3 linked regions of the Tamandua tetradactyla genome follow. The protein of the gene in region 2 interacts with the protein of the main gene of each other region in a pairwise test. Links are inferred from orthologs where the notes say so. Each region holds a gene or a part of one and is shown on either strand. Other genes may lie near its edges. The genes, in order: EGFL7, HOXA1 and NELL2.

Region 1 (6,312 bases), on a different chromosome or scaffold from region 2:
TGTCTGTTGTTGTATTTTTTAAAAAAATTCAAAAGTTAATAAAAAAAATTTTAAAAGAGGGAATCATGTGGAAAGAGCTGAAGAAAGAAAATGTCCCCGGGAAGCTGTTTGAAACCAGAAGCTAAGGGAGCAGCAGACGCCAGCCATGTGCCCTCCCAGACCAGCCTTTCTTGAGTCAAAGAATCTTTCTCTGGATGCCTTAGTTTGAACATTCTAACGGCCTTAGAAATTCAAATTTGTAACTTAATAAATTCCCTTTATAAAAACCATAATAATAATAATAATAATAATGACGATGATGATGCGGGGACTCCACAAGGGAGGCTAAAATGAAAACAGCAACACTACGAAGTGCTGGCGAGGGTGTGGGGCACAGCGGCAGCACTGCACGGCCATGGGCCACTCCCGCTGACCGCCAACCTCCCACCCAGGAGTGGGGCTGGGGGCATGTGCCTGGGACAGAGACAAGCAGCCGCCCCTGAACCCACACCTGCAGCAGGACTGACCAACAGCCGCAGCCCCAGAGGGTCTTCCAAACAGAATCCCCCACGGGGCAGAAGGAGCTGGAGTCCACTGATCTGAGACCCCAAGTGGGCAAAACCATGTCCGGCTGCTGGATGTCAGAGAGGGTCACCCCCAGGGCTGTCTCTTGGCCGAGGTGCTGTCCTGGGGTGGGCGGCTTGCCCTGCGGACATCTGCCATGATGGAAGTCTGCCCTCCATCTGTACGTCTGGGGGTGTCCACAAGGTCCTTCTTTTTCGGCTCCTCCCGGGTGCCAGACTCTGTCCTGGGGGCAGGCTGGCAGGGGTGGGCAAGGCTGCGAGGCCTGGAGACAGGGGCCTTGGCCCGTGGTGCCCGAGACAGGCGGGGACAGGGGCGGGGAGGGAAGGGGCAACTCCAGCAAGTTCTGGGGACAGAGCTCTGGGGGCTCGCTGAGGACCCCAATGTGCGGCCCTGGCTGGGGCAGTGCGGGACAGACCCCAGGGAGGGGGCTGTGGCCGAGTGGGTGTCCCCGAGGGACAGAGGCCACGGAGCGGGAGGAAGAAGGGCCAGCCAGACACCCTGGGCTCCATGTCCCTTTGCCCCCATTTCCCGGCCGGTGACTATGGACATGTGACACCAGTCCCCTCCTCCGACCTTCATCTGAAAATGGAAAATTCTCAGAATAAAGGTGTTCCGTGGGGGGCTGGGTGCCAGGGGTGACCACAGGGCCCAGCATGGGGTGCTTTCCACACACACAGTGCAGGGATCTGGGAACAGCGTGTGGGGGAGGGAACACAGGGAGGAAGGGAAACAGGGAAGGAGGGAGGGGGAGGGCCCCGGCCGGCCCGCTGCCCTCTGGGACCCCTGCACATCACCATGTAAGCCTCTCCCCCACCCCACCCCGGGCATGGGGCCCACTCAGGTGTACAGAGGCCACCTGGCCCACAGGCACCTGTGCCCGGCCGCCTCCCCCCAGCCCCACCAGGGACGGCCACTGGGCCCAGCGCATCCTTTGGTGCAGTGCTCGGCCCGCCGCCCGACAGAACCGTCCCATCCCCGCGGCCAGTGCGGGGGTGAACAGGAAGCCCCATCTCTCCCCTGCGCTGCCTTCTTGTCTTTCCTTCCTGCAGCCCTGCGCGCACGCCCCATGCCCCCCGGCCTCGCGGCTGCCTGTGATGCCCACTCTGGTCTCTGCTGAGGACTCGGCCCGCTCTCTCCCCGGGCCGCAGAGCCCAGACACTCAGAGGTGAGGGTCTCTGGAGGGTCCCCGGAGGGCCTGGTGGGACTGGGAAGCTCTGGCAGTCCCCACCCCGCCCCGCCGCTGACCAGTGTGCTCCAGGAAGGTAAGGCAGCCTCCCTCACTGCCCGCACCCCCCATTCAAGCCCAGGCGGGAAGGGCCGCTCTGGATCCAGCCCTGCAGCGACAAGGGATGGTGGGGGGGCGGCAGGGGGGATCTGAGCAACTTGGAGGCAAAGCTGGACCCAGATGGCCAAGCCCAGCCGGGTGGCCTCTGCTCTGAGGCCCCCGAGCAGCCCAGGCGGACATGCGGAGCATCTGGAGAACACCAGCCAGTCCCTCCTGGCCTCTAGCTCTGAGCTGGTCTGTGCAGTGAAGCTGGAGAGGGGGCGCAGATGTGGGGGTGCAGGCCTGGGCAGGAGCCCCCACTGCCCCCTTTTAAAAAAATGATTCACTGCAGGCAGAATGTGTTGGATGACCCTAAACAGATGCTATCAAGGAGGGAAGAGGCTGAGGTGCCCAACAGCTTCCTGGGGGTGCAGCCCTAAGGATGGGAGGGGGTACACAGCCTGCCCCACACTGAGTCCCCCCAGACCCCAAGCTCCACCCACTGCAGCACCGCCCCAGGGGATGGGCTGCCCAGGCAAAAAGGGCCCCTAGCCCTTCTCTGGACACCCAGCCCAACCAGAACCAGTGTAAGCAGGTGGCCAGCCAGCACCCGTTCCTGGCCCACCTCAGCTTCAGAGGGGACCTGCTGGGTTGCAAGGGGGATATGCTAGGGGACAAGGCGGGGGCCCAGAGCCCACTCTTCTCCTTGGGCTCGGTTCTGGTCTTGGCCCGGGAGGGAGGGGCTGGGGGTAGGTTTACGTGGGGGGCTCCTTGCAGGGCTGCTCCTCACTTTCCACACTTGAAACCCCACCCTTCCATTTACTTCTGGGCTCTGTGGCATCATTTCCAGAAAGTTCCCCAGCACGCACACCGGTCAGAGGCAGAGTGACCCATTAGCCAAGGCAGGTATTTGGCTAATTACCTACTCCCAACCCTTGGTGCCTCCCCAGACAAGGGACCAGTCTGAAGACTGGGGCGCTGTCCCCGGTTTGGGGACATTAGAAATTGGGGTGTTCATTGAGGAAAGAAGGGCTGAGAGAAGGGGCCCTCCTACAGGATCTGGCCCCCTCCCAGCTCTGCCCACGGCTTCCCTGGGCAGCCCTGCTCCCACCACCTGTCCAGAGCGGATGCCACGTGCCCTGCCCTTTGCTGGTTTCTCACCTGGGGGACAAAAGTGTATCCTGGGCCCGGAGTCTGGGAAGGAGTGACCTGGGCGGCCTGGCTGAAAGCCCCTGGCAGGACGTCCTGCTCCCCTGACTGCAAAGTCCCCAGGTAGGGGAGTGAGGGGGGTCAAGCTAGGCAAGGGGGGACCCTGCCGAGGGTGTGTCCAGGAGGGGTGAGGGCTGGATCCCCTGAGTGGGCTGGCTGGGAAGAGATGGGGTGTGGGGGTCACACCTGAGCCCCCACCCTTGGCGCCCTCGCTCAGATGGCAGTGCCTGAGTGCCAGGGGTATCCGTGAACCAACCAAACCTCCCAGTCACCTCCATTGTCCCTTCTGAGGAGAGGGGGACATTGAGGCTGGGAGAGAAGTGGCCCAGGGCCTAAGAGGCAGGACCTGCCGTGAGCCCCAGGCCTGCCGGCTCCCTGCCCTCACCCGGGCATTGGCAATAGATCCTGGCACAGCCATGGGGGTGGGGAGGGAAGTGGGTAGCACGGCAGGGTGGGGTGGGGGGACAGTTCCGTCCTTGCCTCAGCATTCCAGCGGGGAACCTTCCAAGGTTCGAGCCACCCTCGAGGCCTGAGACGTCCAGCCGGGTGGGGCTGGAAGGAGGTGGGGGCCCACGGAGATGTACGGGGCCAGGAAGAATGGTGGGGAAGGGTGCCCTTGGCAGCAGGGGCGCAGGGGAGGACCCTGCGGTGAGGCTTCTCTCCAAGGAAAGCCGCCCTCGCTCCAGGCACCAGCAGCCAGCGGTGTGGTCTGGGACAAGTGCTCTCTCTGGGACCAGGCACCACTCACCCACGCCTGCTGTGTGAGGGCCACCCAAGGCCCACCCTTATAGCAACTACCCCATTGCCACCTAAATGGGGAAACTGAGATCAGACCTTGTGGCACCCTCTTTGGGACCTAAAGTCTCTCCTGTTCCTTCTTCCTCCCCACCCCTCTGGCTGCTGGAGGCAAAGGAAAGAGGCTGGGGGAGGGGGAAAGAGGGACCTGGAACATGCTTTGTCTTCCGGTCCGGGGGTGCCATCAGCCTGGAGGACCCCTGGGAAGGGCAGCTTGGGTCTTTTGGCCTTCTCTTGCACACGCCCGAGGACAGGGAGCTCATTGCCCCTCCGGACAGCCCTGTCCACAGGGAAACAGCTCAGATTCCTAGCAAAGGCCCGTGTCTCAGAGCCGAAGTCTGTCCACCTTTGGCACCTGCCACCCCAGCTGGTCTGCTCTGGGCCCCAGGGACCTATAGAGCAAGCTGGGCTCAGACCACTCAGTCTGCCCTGCCCATCCCCAAATCCCTTCCAGCGGGGTCCTGCCAAGTCCTCCACTGGCCAAGGCTCTGGCTGTGGCTGGAACCTTCCTGGGGCCAGGAGCCCCTTGAGGTTCACATCTTGAGCCCTCACCCATCTGGAGGTGCAGGCAGGTGTGGGGGAAGAGCCCAGCGTCCCCTGGAGAATGGCCTGTGGCCAAATGTGGGAAGCCCCTTCCATTGAGCTACACGAATGCAGCCTGAGGTCCCACCGACTTTATGGGTCCTGCGGGGGGCGGGGAGGGGGCCTGGGTGTCATGTCCCCCCGACACACTGTAAATGGGATGGGGGAGGTCACCCAATATCACCAGCTAAGTTGCAGCTAAGCACAAACCTAGCTCTGGCTGATTTGAGATTGCAACTCTGCAGTCCCAGGGGACAGCTACCTCCCCCTACCCCAGAGCGCTGCCAGCCACCCCCTCCCTCACCGGCCCCCCAACCCGCCCCTCTGCCTCCTGTTTGTTCTGCTGACGGATCCCTGTTATCAGCGGAGAACACACACAGGAAGTCCGGCCGGGAAGGGCCCATCCCAATCCCGATTTACACGGGACGGAGCATAAAAAGCCGCCCTTCCTCGCCCCGGGAGGAACCCCCTGCCCTAGCCGCTGGCTGGAGCAGCCGGGATGCAGCCTCGAGCAGGCAGGCCGGGCCAGCGGGAACCAGGCCCTGGTGAGGGGCAGGGTCCACCCTGGCCACGAGAGATGGCGGCGGCAGGCATGGCCGAGCCAGGGCCTGGGCAGTGTCAGGTATGGCAGGGACATGCTTGGGCGGGTGGGAGAGGCTCTGAGCTGCCCATGAGCTTCATCCTGGCCTTGGTGGTGCCTGCATGGGCCACGTCGGCCTCCCCATTTTGGTGCCACCCTCCCCACCCCCCTGGCATAGAAGAGACCACCAGGACCACTTGGCTAGGTCACCAGCTGGGGGTGGGGTGGGGTTGGGGGTGTTTGGTGTCCTGACCCCAGCACTTGGCTGCCCAGCGGCTGATACCCCACCCGATACCCCACCCCCAAGCTCGGCACCCCCTTATGTCCCGGAGAGGCCTCAAGAGGCAGGTGCCCAGGAAGTTGGCAGCACAATGTGCATAACTGGGCCCTCTGTGGGGAGATGATGTCCCACCATCCTCCTTTGCTGAGCCCCGGGGTGTCCCAAGGGCAGGGGGCGTCTCCTTAGCTCTCCCCAAGCAATGGGCAAGGGCTCCCAAGGCAGGTTCGGGGAGGAGGTCAACCTAAGGAGTACCCCCAAAGACAAATCTGCAGCCCAGATAAGCCCCATGTCGGGGGCACTGACACAGAGGACGAGCAGCCCCCACCTCTCACCTACTGACTTTGGGGGCTCAGGGATAATTTCGGGGGAGGGGGCAGGCCTAGCCAAATGGGTGATTTTATCAGGTTCACCTGGAACCCTAGAGGGGCCCATTGTCCTCCCTCTCCACAGCTCCCCCCAAGAATGGCGGAGGCTAAGGGGGGGCCTCCCCCACCTGGCATATGCCCACCCCAGGGCATCCTGCAGGAAAGACGGCCCATGGCTCAGATGAGAAAGCAGAGGCTGCTGCTATCCCCGAATCTCCCATTCTCTGCAGCAGCCCGAGAGGTGGGAGCCCCATTTTACAGATGGGAAGGCCATGCCAGCTCGCAGCGGAGCTGCAAGCTGTGGCTGGTACCTGCTTCCAGGGCAGATGGGGGGCAGTGACTCGGCTTGGGCCATCGGGCAGCATGGGGTAGAGTCTGCGGGCTGAGGCCTGCGGCGGCCCTACCCCTCATCCTCTCTCTGACCCGCAGCCCCCAGTGCCCAGAAGGACAGTTGGCGCCATGTCTGGTGGATGATGGAGACCTCCACACCAGGTGAGACCCCAGAAAGCCCAGGAGGCTCTGGGTAGCAGGAGGGGGTCTGGGTCTCACTCTCACACATGCGCACACACACGTGGGCACACACACGCACAGGTGCGCCATGGGGTCTTGGGGCCGAAGGCAAAAACTGCCAGGGTGCGCAGGCCCTGCCTCCCAGTAATCCCGTGTGGGGGTC
Region 2 (6,312 bases):
GGGGAGGGCAACCTGCGCCCTTGATATGGCCGCAGCAACTGTGCCTGCAGAGTCCAGGCTTGCCGCCTTTGACAGGGAAGTGCAGGAAATCTCACTGGTGCTCTAGGATGCCTGCAAACTCCAAACTTTTGTATGCCCCTCCACCCCCACCCCCCCCATCCTTTGTAAAACATTCTTTGCGGAGGAAGGAAGTCGTATGTCTGTATTTGTTTGGGATGCTGTAAATTTTCTGCTGTACTTTGGAGCTAAATTAAAGCCTCCAAAAAATGTGTGAAAGTAAAGAAAAAGTGGTAAGAGGTCTGGGAGGAGCACTTTGAACTCTTTCATTTGCTGGCTTCCCCTGAGAGCAGGCAGATGCCAGGGTTGAAGCAATTTGGATATTGAAAGACTTCAAGGCACAGGGACAAGTTCACCTGGAAGGAACTATTGAGCCCAGAAAATAAAATTTTAAAAACTTTTTTTCTGGGTTATATTGCATGGAATTAGAACTGTGGACTCACCGCAGCCATGTTGGCTATGAAATAAAAATTGAGTCTGAAGGGAATGAGATGTGCAACCTAGAGGGGGTTGGGAAACAATGCAAGGGATAGATGTTGAAGGGAGGAATGGGGGAGGGGTATAAGGGTTTACTGAAAGCAGACCCCACTAAATTTAAAGGCTGGAATATATTGGAACACTGCACAGCAATCTAAAAAGAAGGAAAGACGGGTGGAGTGAGGGCTCCATCCTCACAACAGCTTTATACTGGAGCTAATTAAATGAGAATCTGTTCGCTCTAGGTTCACTGATGTGAGGAAAGACTGACTGAAGACAGTTTCAGCTTTTGAAGAGAGGTTCTGTTTATATATATGTCAACATTCAGTTGGAGGTGAAAAGGTTAGCACTTGACCCAGGAAGTATCCATGATTGTTTCAGCAATAGCTCTTCTTCATAAATTTCCTCACCGTTCATTTTTTCCATTATAAATGTCAATTATTATAAAGAAGCTGTTGTTATTTTAAAGAAAATCAAGCTATTAAATAACATTGGTAAGGTGTCATACCAGAATCTGGTGAAATTAAAGTCGTGAAGAAGTTTCAGCTACATGAAAATGGAGGGTATTCACTTTTATGCAAGAAAAGGCCCACTTGGAAAATTCATATCATTCTTTCTCCCCATCCCCAAATGAAATAGACAACTTCGTAGGAATCAACAAATTGTATCCCAGTCAAATACACTGACATTTAAGCATACCTGAAATTGAATATATTTATTACAGACATCTTAAGACCCGTAAACTCTGCTCCGGATCACATCACTCCAGGATCTCAGAGCTAGTCATGATTGTACAGAAAATGGGAAATCAAAGGCTCACCAAGGATAACTGATAGAACTCAGTGTGGTACTTCAGAGACATCAAAACATTGTGCGACATGCAAAAGACTATTCACCAATCACACAAAATATACATTCATTGTGCCATCCATCACATTAACAATTGAGCTGAAAATACATCATATCCAGCTACAGTAACTGTGGAAGGAAGAAGCTGGTTTGAATAATGCCTTTAGGTTCAGAATAATCCAGCACAAATTTTTAATGGAAAGTAACCAGAGAAGCAAGAAAAAAGGGGATGGGGAAAAATTTAATACAGGAAGCCAGGTTTGTGAACCTTGTGCTCTACAGGCCTTCTTAGCTCACTGAAAGAACAAATCAAGGCTATCCTCTGAGGCATCCGATTGGGTTTCAATAAGGAAATTTATTCTTTCACCTATAATCACATATAAAATTGTAGGAGCCATGAGAGTTTGCCCACCCTGTTTGAGTCAATTAAACTAAACTTTCCTAGAAAATCTGTATAAAGATAAATCTCTCAGTCAAAGTATTTACAAAGCCAACTTATACATGAAACTGAATTAAATTAAGGAATGAATGAATTGTGTAAACACACTCATAGTGCATCTATTCTTCATGAGCTCCTGAACTCTTTCCTGTCTTTCTATTCTACTTTTAAGATCAGAGTAGGGGACAACTGTAAAGATACAGATTGATAAAAGATGAGAAGCCTCTCCCTGATATGTTTCTGCTGGCAAAGGGGTCTATTCTCCAAAGGACATCTGGAAAGGAATAGTAGGTTCCTGGAAATACCCTTAAAAGGCAGGAAGGGGTTGTAGGGACCATCAGAAAATTGATGCTGGCACCCAATCTGGATTAAGGAGTAAATCTCCCACCAGGTCTGGTCCAGAACTCTCTGGAAACACATTAACTCGGCCAGGAGTTCCCAGATAGGATCAGAAAGGAAGAGAGAGACTGTCAATGGAAAGGAAGATAAGCTAAGAATGTGCTTTGGGTAAGAAGTCCCAGCCTGAGAAGCCTGGACTGTGGAGCCTTGGGCTGGGGTGGCCTCCTCAGTGAGAGGTGGTCAGGGTGTCTGAGGTAGAAGATCCTGGGGAGGGAACGCAGGGAGAGGAGCTGGACTTCTCTGAGGATTCCTCGGCCTTTTCATCGCTTACGGGCGGAGTAGCCGGAGAGATGGGCAGAAGCCCTTCCTTCTCTCGCTTCTTCTGCTTCATTCGGCGGTTCTGGAACCAGATCTTCACCTGGGTCTCGTTGAGCTGCAGGGACGCAGCGATCTCCACCCTGCGGGCACGCGTCAGATACTTGTTGAAGTGGAACTCCTTCTCCAGCTCCGTCAGTTGCTTGGTGGTGAAGTTGGTGCGCACCGCATTGGGTTGACCCACATAGCCATATTCTCCAACTTTTCCTGGAGACAGAGTAGGAATTGGTGAGGGAAAAAGGTAAAAATTTAAAAATTGATATGAGGGACATTTATCCCCTACAGGCTTTAGAGCAAAGGGAGATCAAGAACTTCTCAGCACAAATCAGGCTACGAAGGGTGAGTGATGAAGTGTAAAGACGTGGTCAGACGAGTGATTAATGAAGCCTAGAGATATTAGCAAAATACATCCCCTCCCCTTCCTACTTACAAAACCTCTAAAACTCAGCCCACTTGGAAACACGTGTCTCAGAGCCTTCTTTGCCCCAAAACATCTGGGCAATCTCCCCATACCCTACAACATCTGTCGGAAGCAAGAACTTAAAAAAAAAAATCATTAGGAATTTTCCTTGCAAACTAAGCATACCAGCTTCTTCCAGTATCATCAAAGAGCATCCACCGGCCAGCAGTAGACGGGGACTGACCTGTTTTGGGAGGGTTTCTTTTGACTTTCATCCAGTCAAAGGTCTGCGCTGGAGAAGATGTCTCCGACGCAGGAGAGCGACAGGCTTCTTGGCTGGCGTGGAGAGGGGACAAGGAGTTATTATACGTGGCCAGGGCCAGGTTCTGATGCTCTTGTCCATATGAGTGATGGATGTACTGAGGCGAGCCCACCGTGCCCCCGGCATAACCCTGGTGGTGGTGGTGATGCTGGACCATGGGAGATGAGAGATTTCCAGAGTAAACAGCGGGAGCGCACGGGGGGTACCCACCACTTACTTCTGCTTCCTGATTTAACGCGTAGGGACTGTAAGGCGCGCCGAAGTTCTGAGCGCCGTAGCCTGGGCCACAACTCGAGTGGGAGTAGGACACCCCCAGATTCCCAGGAGTCTGGTATGTGGCTGGCTGGGAGTGGTGATGGTGGAGGTGATGGTGGGGGGGAGGGCTGATCTGCACACCCCTCCCCACTAGGAAGCGGTCGTCGCCGCCGCAGCTGTTGGCACTGACTGCGCACGACTGGAAAGTTGTAATCCCATGGTCGGAAGGGTAGGCTAGCGCTGAGCAGGTCCCGGAGTCGCCTCCGCTGAGAATGGGGTATTCCAGGAAGGAGCTCATTCTTGCATTGTCCATCTGTCACTGAGTGACCAGGTCCTGCGAAGCCCTGGGTGACCGTGCCAACTTTCTCACTTCCTCCATGGGGTCGAAGAAGAAAAATGATATGAATGTACAGTGCGCAAGACAGGGGGCGGAGGGCGGAGGGCTCTAGGGAGGGGCACGTGACTGTGCCAGCCAATCGCTGAGCCCCCTGCGAAAGTTTGCCGACTCCCGCGGTGATGGATCACTGTTTCAGTGGCATTTAAATCCCCGGCGCTCCTCCGTCTAGGTGACGCGCAGTCGCCCCCCTAGGCAGCCCAGGCCGTGGCAGTAGCTGCGGCGGCTGCTACGACTGATTCCGAGCACTGGGGCGAAGGGGAGGAGAGGCTGCTTTCCACGCGCGCTCAACTCCGCTCGGCCCCCGCCCCTGCGGGAAGTAGGGGCTGAGGGCATCCCCCACCAGCGTTCCCCTCTCAGCTGTGTACAGAAAGATGAACTGGCGAAAGGTGAGAAGGGAAGAGGGCTCTCGGCTCTCTCGGGTGAGGGATAAAGCGGCCGGAACTGTCTGGGCGGAACAGAAAGGGTAGGAAACAAGACCTGCGTAAGCCCCAGTTTCCCGGATCGCTTTTACTGCACTGTCCGTGCTCCGGGACCCTGGGGCGGTAAGGAATGCAGAAAATGGTGGTGGAGAGCGAGGCTGGGCCACCAGCTCTCCGAGCCGAGAAGGAAGTGCGCGGAGGACTGACTGAGAGGAATCCCGGATGGGTGTGGAGCGGCGAGCTCAAGAAAAGAAAATTCCCTTTTCCTAGGAGGGTCTCTGATGCTCCTTTTCCGCCCTACACCGTTGCCATTAGCATGGCAATGAGGAGCTTATGTAATTCGACGCCCCGGGGCGGGTGAGCCCTTGCAGCAGAGCTTGTCAGCAAAGGCCTGGGATGGCCGGACTCTTCTCCACCCTCTCTCTCTCTCTCTCCTCGTTCCCGCCCCTTTCTCCTTCCCACTCAGCTTTGCTCCGGGAGCCCTTCGGGATCCCGAGCAACTCGGCCGCTGGATTTTGAGGGGTAGGAGGCGGGGGAGAGAGATGACGCTAGCGGACGTGGCCTGCGTAGGGGCCGAACCGCGCGCTGCAGACCATCTGCCGGCTCCCCAGGACCCAGGAGCCTGCGCGCTCCGGGTGGGGCCTCGAAGGGCCAGACCACAGCTCCAACAAAGTGTGCTCAGCTCTCCTCTCTCCTTCGTTTCTCTCTTTCTGGAGAGGGGATTTACGAGTAGGAGATCCTCCTCCAACACCCCCCCCCATACACACACACACACACACACACACACACACACACACACTAGATTCGGTTGCATTGCATGTCTGGAGTGGGGGTGGGGGCTAGCAGGTGGGAGGGGTGGTGGACAGATGGCTGATGGTGGACACTAGACACTTTCCTCTTCCCCAACGATACCTCCTCCCCTTTCCAACTTACTGTGTAGCTGCCTATGTGAGTCAAGTGTTTCCCCAGAGAGGCACGTGCAAATCTGAGCATCATCCCAAGCCAGAGGTCCTGGTCTTCATCACACTTATCCTACCCTGATACTGATGGTGTCGTTAATTGCTATTTACTATTAGGTTTCGAGTCAACCACGGGCTTGTAGAGAGAAAAGTCCAGAGGCAGAGAATTGATGCATGCTTAGGTAGCAGAAATCAGCCAAGAAGCTTTGCAGCCACTGTTCTATAGATTTTACTCTGATGGTGTTTACAACATTGAATCTGACAGATGAAAATTATTATGAGGACTGTATGTGGGTTTGGGATTCCTACTTCTTGCCTACCTCCCCTCCCCCAGTTAGAACAACAATGTTTTGCTTGAGGCAGGCATATTTCAAATGTGTTAGGCACCCTTTCAGGCCCCTGTGTTCTGTTCTCCAAATATAAAGTCTCCCCCCAAATCTGTCATCTCAGAAGGGAAAACCCTTGCAGACCTTTAACGCTGGACTCCCTCAGCAGCAGCAAAAAAAAAAAAAAAATGGGTTCCCCAAACACTTCCTTTGGAATGGTATTTTTCTGTGAACTTTGACCCATCCTCAAACTTGGTTTAAGTGGGAGCACGTACAGAAAAGGTCACTACTGCCTCAGTTCCAGCTTCTGGAGAAGGGAAAAGGCAAGACGACTCGCCTGGAAGCGGCTTCCTTGGGAGCGCCAGGCCTGCAGCGGAATAGGAGGAGAAGGGATCCTGTGGGGGTGGGGCTGAGGTGGAGAGTATGAGCTGGCAGTGTGGGTGATCTACTCTCGGAGCCAAAGCTCATCCGTACGTTCTCCCCCCTTGCCTTATTCCTATACCTTTGTTGGCCTCCTCCGCCGGGGTTTGCGCGACCCCCCTGGGCCGCAGGGCGTCCTCCACAAAGCCGCCACCGGCCTCAGCCTTGTCGCCTCCTCTGCTAGCTCCCGGCCTCCGCACTCCTCTCCCTCCACCTCCCTTCTCTCCTGGGTTCCTTACTAAGACAGCCTGGGTGGGGAGGTTTTCTTGGTGTCAAAA
Region 3 (6,312 bases), on a different chromosome or scaffold from region 2:
ATCTATTATGACACTTTTTAATGAGGTGTAAATTCTAGTGTAATATGTGTATGAACCACTTAGTATCACTTGCAATTTATTCTTCAACTACTAATGAATTCCTCCCATCTTGCTATCCTGGAAATACATGTCCTAGGCCAGTAGGGATTCCAAAGGAGAAAACAGATGGGTCAGTGGAAATCCATCATCATTACAAGGGGAAAAAAGAATGGGGGGAAAACCTCAACTCTGAACTCCAAGCACATGGCCTGCTATAAAGAGACTAGACAAAAGCTACTCTATTAGTTATAAATTGTGCATTAACTATTTTCTTGATTAAAGGATGGAGAACTCTCTTTTAATAGTTATCTCTGTGTATCCTGGATGCTTTCCTTTGTAAAAATATAATTAACAGAAACTAATGGAAAAATTGACAGAAACATCTCTTAGGGTGATCCTATTTCTATAGCCCCATCCTCCATTAAGAATCTGAGTGCTAGTTCAGGGTCTCCAGACAGTAACTTGAGCCTTCCTCTTTTCTTATAAAAGAAAAATGCAGCCCAAACTTTGTGGTCTCTTGAGAGCTGTCAGGGAGAAAAGAATGTAATTAACATGGGGGATATTTGTGGGGTGAGGGCTGGGGAAAACTGACTTTAAACTTTAAAACCTAGGCTGAGGATATAATGCAATTTAAATGCAGTGTCCAAGGAGTCTAATGCACAGACAAACTGGACAGGGGAAACTCCTGGTGGTAGCTGAGTCTTGTGTCAGATGGTTTGGAGCTATGTATGTACTCAAGGAAAAAAAAAGCTCTTAAACTTACTTCATTCCTGTTGGTATAAAACCACTGTAAGTTGGACCCTTTTGGTGAGGTCAGTTGACACGTGGCTCAACTCAATCAGGATGGGTTTAATCCTATTACTTCAGTCGTTTGTAAGCAGAATGGAAGTCGGATGGACAGAGAGAAAGCCGCAGGAAGCAGGAAGCTGGAAGCTGGAAGTCAATGGAATGCAGAAGAGAAGGGAAGGCCAAGAGAGGCATCATGTTCATTGCCATTTGACAGAGGAGCCCAGGAACAAGGAGCACTGGCAGCCAGCCCCAGAATACTCGTCTTTGGGAAGAAAGCATTGCCTTGATGATGCTTGATTTGGATTTTCCTAGAAGACTTAAAATCGTGAGCCAATAAATTCCCATTGTTTAGGCCAGCCTATTGCATGGCATTTGCTTTAACAACAAAGAAACTAAAACAGGTGGAATTGGAGTTGTCGAGCAGGGAGCCATTGGTGCCTGATGGTGGGATGTTTCACAGAGGGAGCCTCTAAGCAAAGACCATCACCAGGGAAGGGGACCGGCCAGGGTTTGCTAGGTCCATTGGCCTCTCTTGACTACATCTCCTCCCCACCATGCTGATTCTAGAAACTAATTCAGGATGAGGCGCTCTTCCGCTTGGGAACCAAAGATAACAAGCATGCAGAAGAAAGTTCACTGGCTACCCCTGGTGAGGTTAGGAAGATTGCCAGCAGGACATACCAGGTATGGCTTTTACTGGCCTGGAATCTGGGTGGATATTGACAGAGATGTCAGATTTTGTTAAAGTTTTGGGGGACAACACTCAATGATACTACCCAGAGTCACAGAGATTCCAACTGTATTAGGTTATATAAAAGTACCCAAAATAACAAGTACAACTTCCTTTTATTTAATACATTATATGTTTGGAACACTATTTATACCAAGCACTTTACATTCTACAGATAAGGAAGCTAAAACTTAGAGGGATTAAATCTATTATTTATTTACTCATCACCTCATGCTAGTAAAAGGAAGTTCTAGAATTTCAACTCAAGTCTGTTTGATCTCAACTCTTGTACATGCTGTACTGTTTTCTCATTCTTATCTGTAACTTGTTTCTTTCAGGGCAACATACTTCTTCCGCATGAAAAGCTAAAAACCTCTTGGTAGGAAGATATTTCTCTGCTAAGCATGTCGAGCATCGATGACGCAAGAGGTATCTTCACCGGTGTCTATGCCCTACATCCTCAGAGTCTCGCTTTTAGCCTCAGCGCTGGGTGCTGGGTGCTGGCTGGTGTTCGGAACGTGAACTTGCTCCCATGCATGGAACTGTTCCCTAGTAGGGCCCCCAGGGGGCAGACTGCAGCAGCGATCGCCTGGAGCCCTCTAGTGGTCACGAGGAAGCTCAGCGTTCCTAGGAACATTCTCAAAGCCCAGCCAGTGTTGCCCAGGGAAGCAAGGCTGTGTGACACCCCTAGAGTCACCCTTATAGTGTCCCTTTAGGTGCCTCTGGGGCATGTCCACTGGCCCTGCCTCAACTCAAGATGACTTCTCAGACCTGCCAAGGGTGCTCTTTCGGATGCTGCAGGGTAGATTCTATCACTAAATTTCGGGAAGAATCTAATACAGGTATCTAGAGGACGTGGCAGGAAATCTCAAATTTATTTTTGTATGTCCCTCAAAATGCACAGGGTGTTTTATTTAAATTGACTCCCAGAAGCATCCCTGGATATCTTATACTTTCCCAAGGTAAATATTTAACTAATGCTAGTAACACTTTTAGGTTACATGGGGTAATATAATTATGATTTTCTGGGATGTTTCTAGTTATATTTATAGGATATATTTAAATAATATTGGTAAACCATGCATAGTTTAATGCATAATGCCATTAGCTTGTTTTTCATGACTGCAATGTAATTATGATGACATATTTCATTAGTTTTTCCCTATTCTTTAATAACATAACTCTAGATTATTTTTATTTTTTTGAGTGTAAATATATGAGTGTATTTAAACATACATATATTTTAACAGATTTATTTTGGTTATCAAATGTAGATAGCAACTTTATCTATTTCACTGTCTCCACTAGAATGTACTGATGTCATTTTCTCATTGTATTTAAAATAGACCAATTTATTTTGGAAAAAAAAAAGCCGCTTTTATAAAATTGCAATAGAAAATACTTTGTATTCATGGAAAAAGATACAATTTCTTAATGAAATAGGAAATAATTTCCACTAGGCATATCCTGTTAAAAATCATCCAGTTACCCACTTAACTATTACAAACAAATCAATTACTAAAACTCATTTGTTGATAAAATATTTACAAGGTGACTCAGTACAATGTTAAGTGCTGTAGAAGATACAAATAGGAATGTGACATGATTCCTGTTCTCAAAGTTCAGGGGGAGAAGCAAAGACAAGTAACTATCCTTTAAAGAAGACAAATTAACAGTGGAATCCCATCATCTCAGCAAAACAAAAGTAAACTAACAACCCCAGAAATAAAAAAGGGAGACAAAAATTACAATTTAAATAGTTCTGTTAGTACTGCTCATCATTCCTTTCAGTGGTTGCTTGGAGTAAGCATGAGGCGAGATGTGACTGTGTGGTTCCCTCAGTTTGTCTCTGTTCAGGGGCCCTCTCAAGCATAAGCATATTACTGAGCTGAGTGTGATTCTAATTTTTAGAGATATGCATATATGCATTTTTTTCATGTAAAATGGATCTTCCAACTGCTTCAACTGGTGCTTAACCAAAGAAACAGGAATCTGTTTCATTTAATGAGGGAAAAACAGGCTGTGCTGAATCAACTCATGGTCTCCAGGGGAGTACTTGTTGGAGGACTTTGCAGGGTAATTTTGATTATTCATGATTTTCTCATTTCTATTTTAGAATCTAGGAGGTATAACTCTATTGTAAGATATGTTTCATTAGAGAGGTACAAACAGCGTGCAGGGGCTTAGATGGCAAGTTAGATAGTTTGACTTTATTCTGATATACAGTAAGATGCTGTTAAGGGATTCTGAATGAAGATGGTCATCAAATTAGGTTTTGGGAGATTCATTTGGCAGTAATATTTTAGATAGGAAGGTGAAAAAACTAGAGAGAGAGAGACAATTAAGAAGCTATTATGATTGCTGAAGTAAATAAGAGGTAATGACGGTCAGACCTAGGGTAGAGGCAGAATATATTAACCTTTTTAACTGACTAGGATGGATTACAAATAGAGGTTTTAAATTGGGAAACCATGAGATTGGTGGCTCCTTTAATTAGAATTAGGGAAATCAGGAGAACTGGTTTTGGCTAGGGAGATAAGCATGATATTAGGAGTGCGAGGTGACCATGGGATATCCAGGTGGATATGTTCAGCAAGGGATTGGATGTTGGAAAGGATTGTAAAATTGTTTGGGTTTGTGGTATATTCTGTTTAGGAATGGCAGTTCAAATTATGAGAGCAGACAAATGGCTAATGAAGATCAACCTTAGAGGAAAAAAAAGAAGGCCAAGTACAGATTTTGGGGGATTATGTGCTTTTGAAATGAGTAAGGGAACCAAAGAAACAATGTTGAAGAAAAACATTCAGGGTAAGAGAATTTTAGGACAGGAGACATTAAGTGGTGCTGAAAGTTCAAGAACTAAATAGAAATAAGGAACTAATGTTGGATGTAGCGAAGAATATAATAGGGGAATAAGAAATATTCTAAAAATCTCTTATTTAGGTGAGATAATTTCAGGAAGAAGGGCTGGTAAATGATTTAAGTGTTGTTGAAATTTCAAGGAGATGGAAAATGAATTTGGAAAATTGAGAATTAAAATCCAAAATTAAGATATGTGGTCTATCAAAGGATTTTTTCCTGATTTATAAATTTGTGTTGAGACTTACAAATGTATAAAAATCTGCTTATATTTAGTTATACTAAACATATAAAAATAAAACTCTATATTGTAATAATAATAACTTATATATAATTTGTAACTACTCTTAATAATGCAAATGTAGGAAACTGATGTTTTCTCAGAAATGGATACCAGAGTTGTCGTTAGTGATTTATAAGAGTGTGGGCTAAAGATAGATTGCAAGCCAAAGAATAATTGGAGTTGAAGAAATACAGGCTTAGAGTTCATCTTTAGTGTATTTTTCAACCTTTTTATGTGCACATACTATTCTGAAATCACTTAATATGTAACAACTTTTGTCCATGCCCAGTACTAAAAAAAAAATAAGAAAATATCATACAGCATTTGCTGCCATAGAAGTGAAACTAGAAATATACAGAAACTACGTTTTAGTGCATAATCTGGAGAGTTCATGCAAGGGTTCAATAGAAGAAGAGGGGTTCCATGATGCCTTAATAATGTCAACATATATTTACGGTTCCTTCTTCCCATTTGTGAAATGCTGTAATTCTTTGTATCCTACGTCCGAAAGCCTTTGAAGTAGTGGGGTAGAAGATAGGAACCCTTCTACTGCAGAGAGATTTCCCGTATCAGACACTGACAGGGGTAGGGTGATGGCGCAATACCAATCCTTCCCTGAGTACTGAGGCTGTATTTGTGAGATATGGCTTCCTCATCTGAGCAATATGTATTTTACATTGGGCCTTTTCAGGCACTTAAAACAATTATGGATCATAGAGAATTAACTATGGCCTTTAGAACATATTAGGTTTAATGAGATAAGAAACATGATCACTATTCTTAAGGAATCAAGTTAGCATAAAATGGGAGAAAAATGAGTTGGCAATCTTTGTCTCAAATTAATCAGCCAATGTGAGCAACACATTCTATTCTGAGATAAGGAGTTACAAATACAGTAGTGGTAGTACTTGCCACCTGATAGGATTCTACCACATTTTCTTATTTAAAATGTGTAACATCCATCTCACACAGAGCTGGAAATAGGGCAAGTTTCCTCTTTCTCATTTCTTCCAGAGGAAGAGTTTCTTTTTTCCAGGAAAGTGTTTCTTCTTTCCTCCTCCCTCAAAAATAACAGCTCACGGAGGTTCAGGACACAGGACTTTTGGAACTAAAACTGAGAAAATTCTGGGTAAACCAGGACAAGTTGGTCAAGCTTGTTTGCAACAATGTCACCTGCAGTAATCTCTTCATCAATATTCCTTACTTGATGAAGATTTTAACACCTGGCTCATATCTTTTCCATCACTACCCTTGGTTGATGTATTTAATCCATTCACCCTCTGACATTTTAGTTCTTCGAACTTTTCCCTTAAAATCTTTTCCTCCCACCCCCAGACTTAGCTGCCAATGTTCATATTAAACAAATCTTTGGACTTTGTTATTATGAATAACTGTATCATCCTCAATATCTTAATTTCTGACATCCCAGTCACCAACAGTCACTCTTCTCTTTTTAGCTCACTGTCTCTGTGACAGTTATTTGACCACACTCAGGCTTCCAATCCATTCACTACCACCGTTTTTATTGTCCCTCACCCTCCAGTTCCTGTCCTTGTTTCCTCCATGTCCAGCTTAGATTCCATTGTCCATTTACTCCCTGCAAACACACTTA

The links.
Region 1: the proteins of HOXA1 (region 2) and EGFL7 interact in binary tests that used the Homo sapiens proteins (3 or more experiments, as listed by UniProt). The link is inferred for Tamandua tetradactyla from reciprocal best matches to the Homo sapiens genes HOXA1 and EGFL7.
Region 3: the proteins of HOXA1 (region 2) and NELL2 interact in binary tests that used the Homo sapiens proteins (3 or more experiments, as listed by UniProt). The link is inferred for Tamandua tetradactyla from reciprocal best matches to the Homo sapiens genes HOXA1 and NELL2.

What each region holds. Positions count from the first base shown.
Region 1 is NC_135328.1:126,215,898-126,222,209, forward strand, and holds the start of EGFL7 (epidermal growth factor-like protein 7), read left to right. Parts: upstream 1-1,640; 5' UTR 1,641-1,658; coding exon 1,659-1,729; intron 1,730-1,790; exon of another isoform or gene 1,791-1,826; intron 1,827-4,969; exon of another isoform or gene 4,970-5,036; intron 5,037-5,043; exon of another isoform or gene 5,044-5,880; intron 5,881-6,068; coding exon 6,069-6,131; intron 6,132-6,312. UniProt on the Homo sapiens protein: Regulates vascular tubulogenesis in vivo. Inhibits platelet-derived growth factor (PDGF)-BB-induced smooth muscle cell migration and promotes endothelial cell adhesion to the extracellular matrix and angiogenesis.
Region 2 is NC_135327.1:96,061,791-96,068,102, reverse strand, and holds HOXA1 (homeobox protein Hox-A1), read right to left. Parts: upstream 3,885-6,312; 5' UTR 3,827-3,884; coding exon 3,181-3,826; intron 2,744-3,180; coding exon 2,388-2,743; 3' UTR 1,212-2,387; downstream 1-1,211. UniProt on the Homo sapiens protein: Sequence-specific transcription factor. Regulates multiple developmental processes including brainstem, inner and outer ear, abducens nerve and cardiovascular development and morphogenesis as well as cognition and behavior.
Region 3 is NC_135333.1:104,679,594-104,685,905, reverse strand, and holds the start of NELL2 (protein kinase C-binding protein NELL2), read left to right. Parts: upstream 1-2,262; 5' UTR 2,263-2,400; exon of another isoform or gene 2,401-2,520; intron 2,521-6,312. UniProt on the Homo sapiens protein: Plays multiple roles in neural tissues, regulates neuronal proliferation, survival, differentiation, polarization, as well as axon guidance and synaptic functions.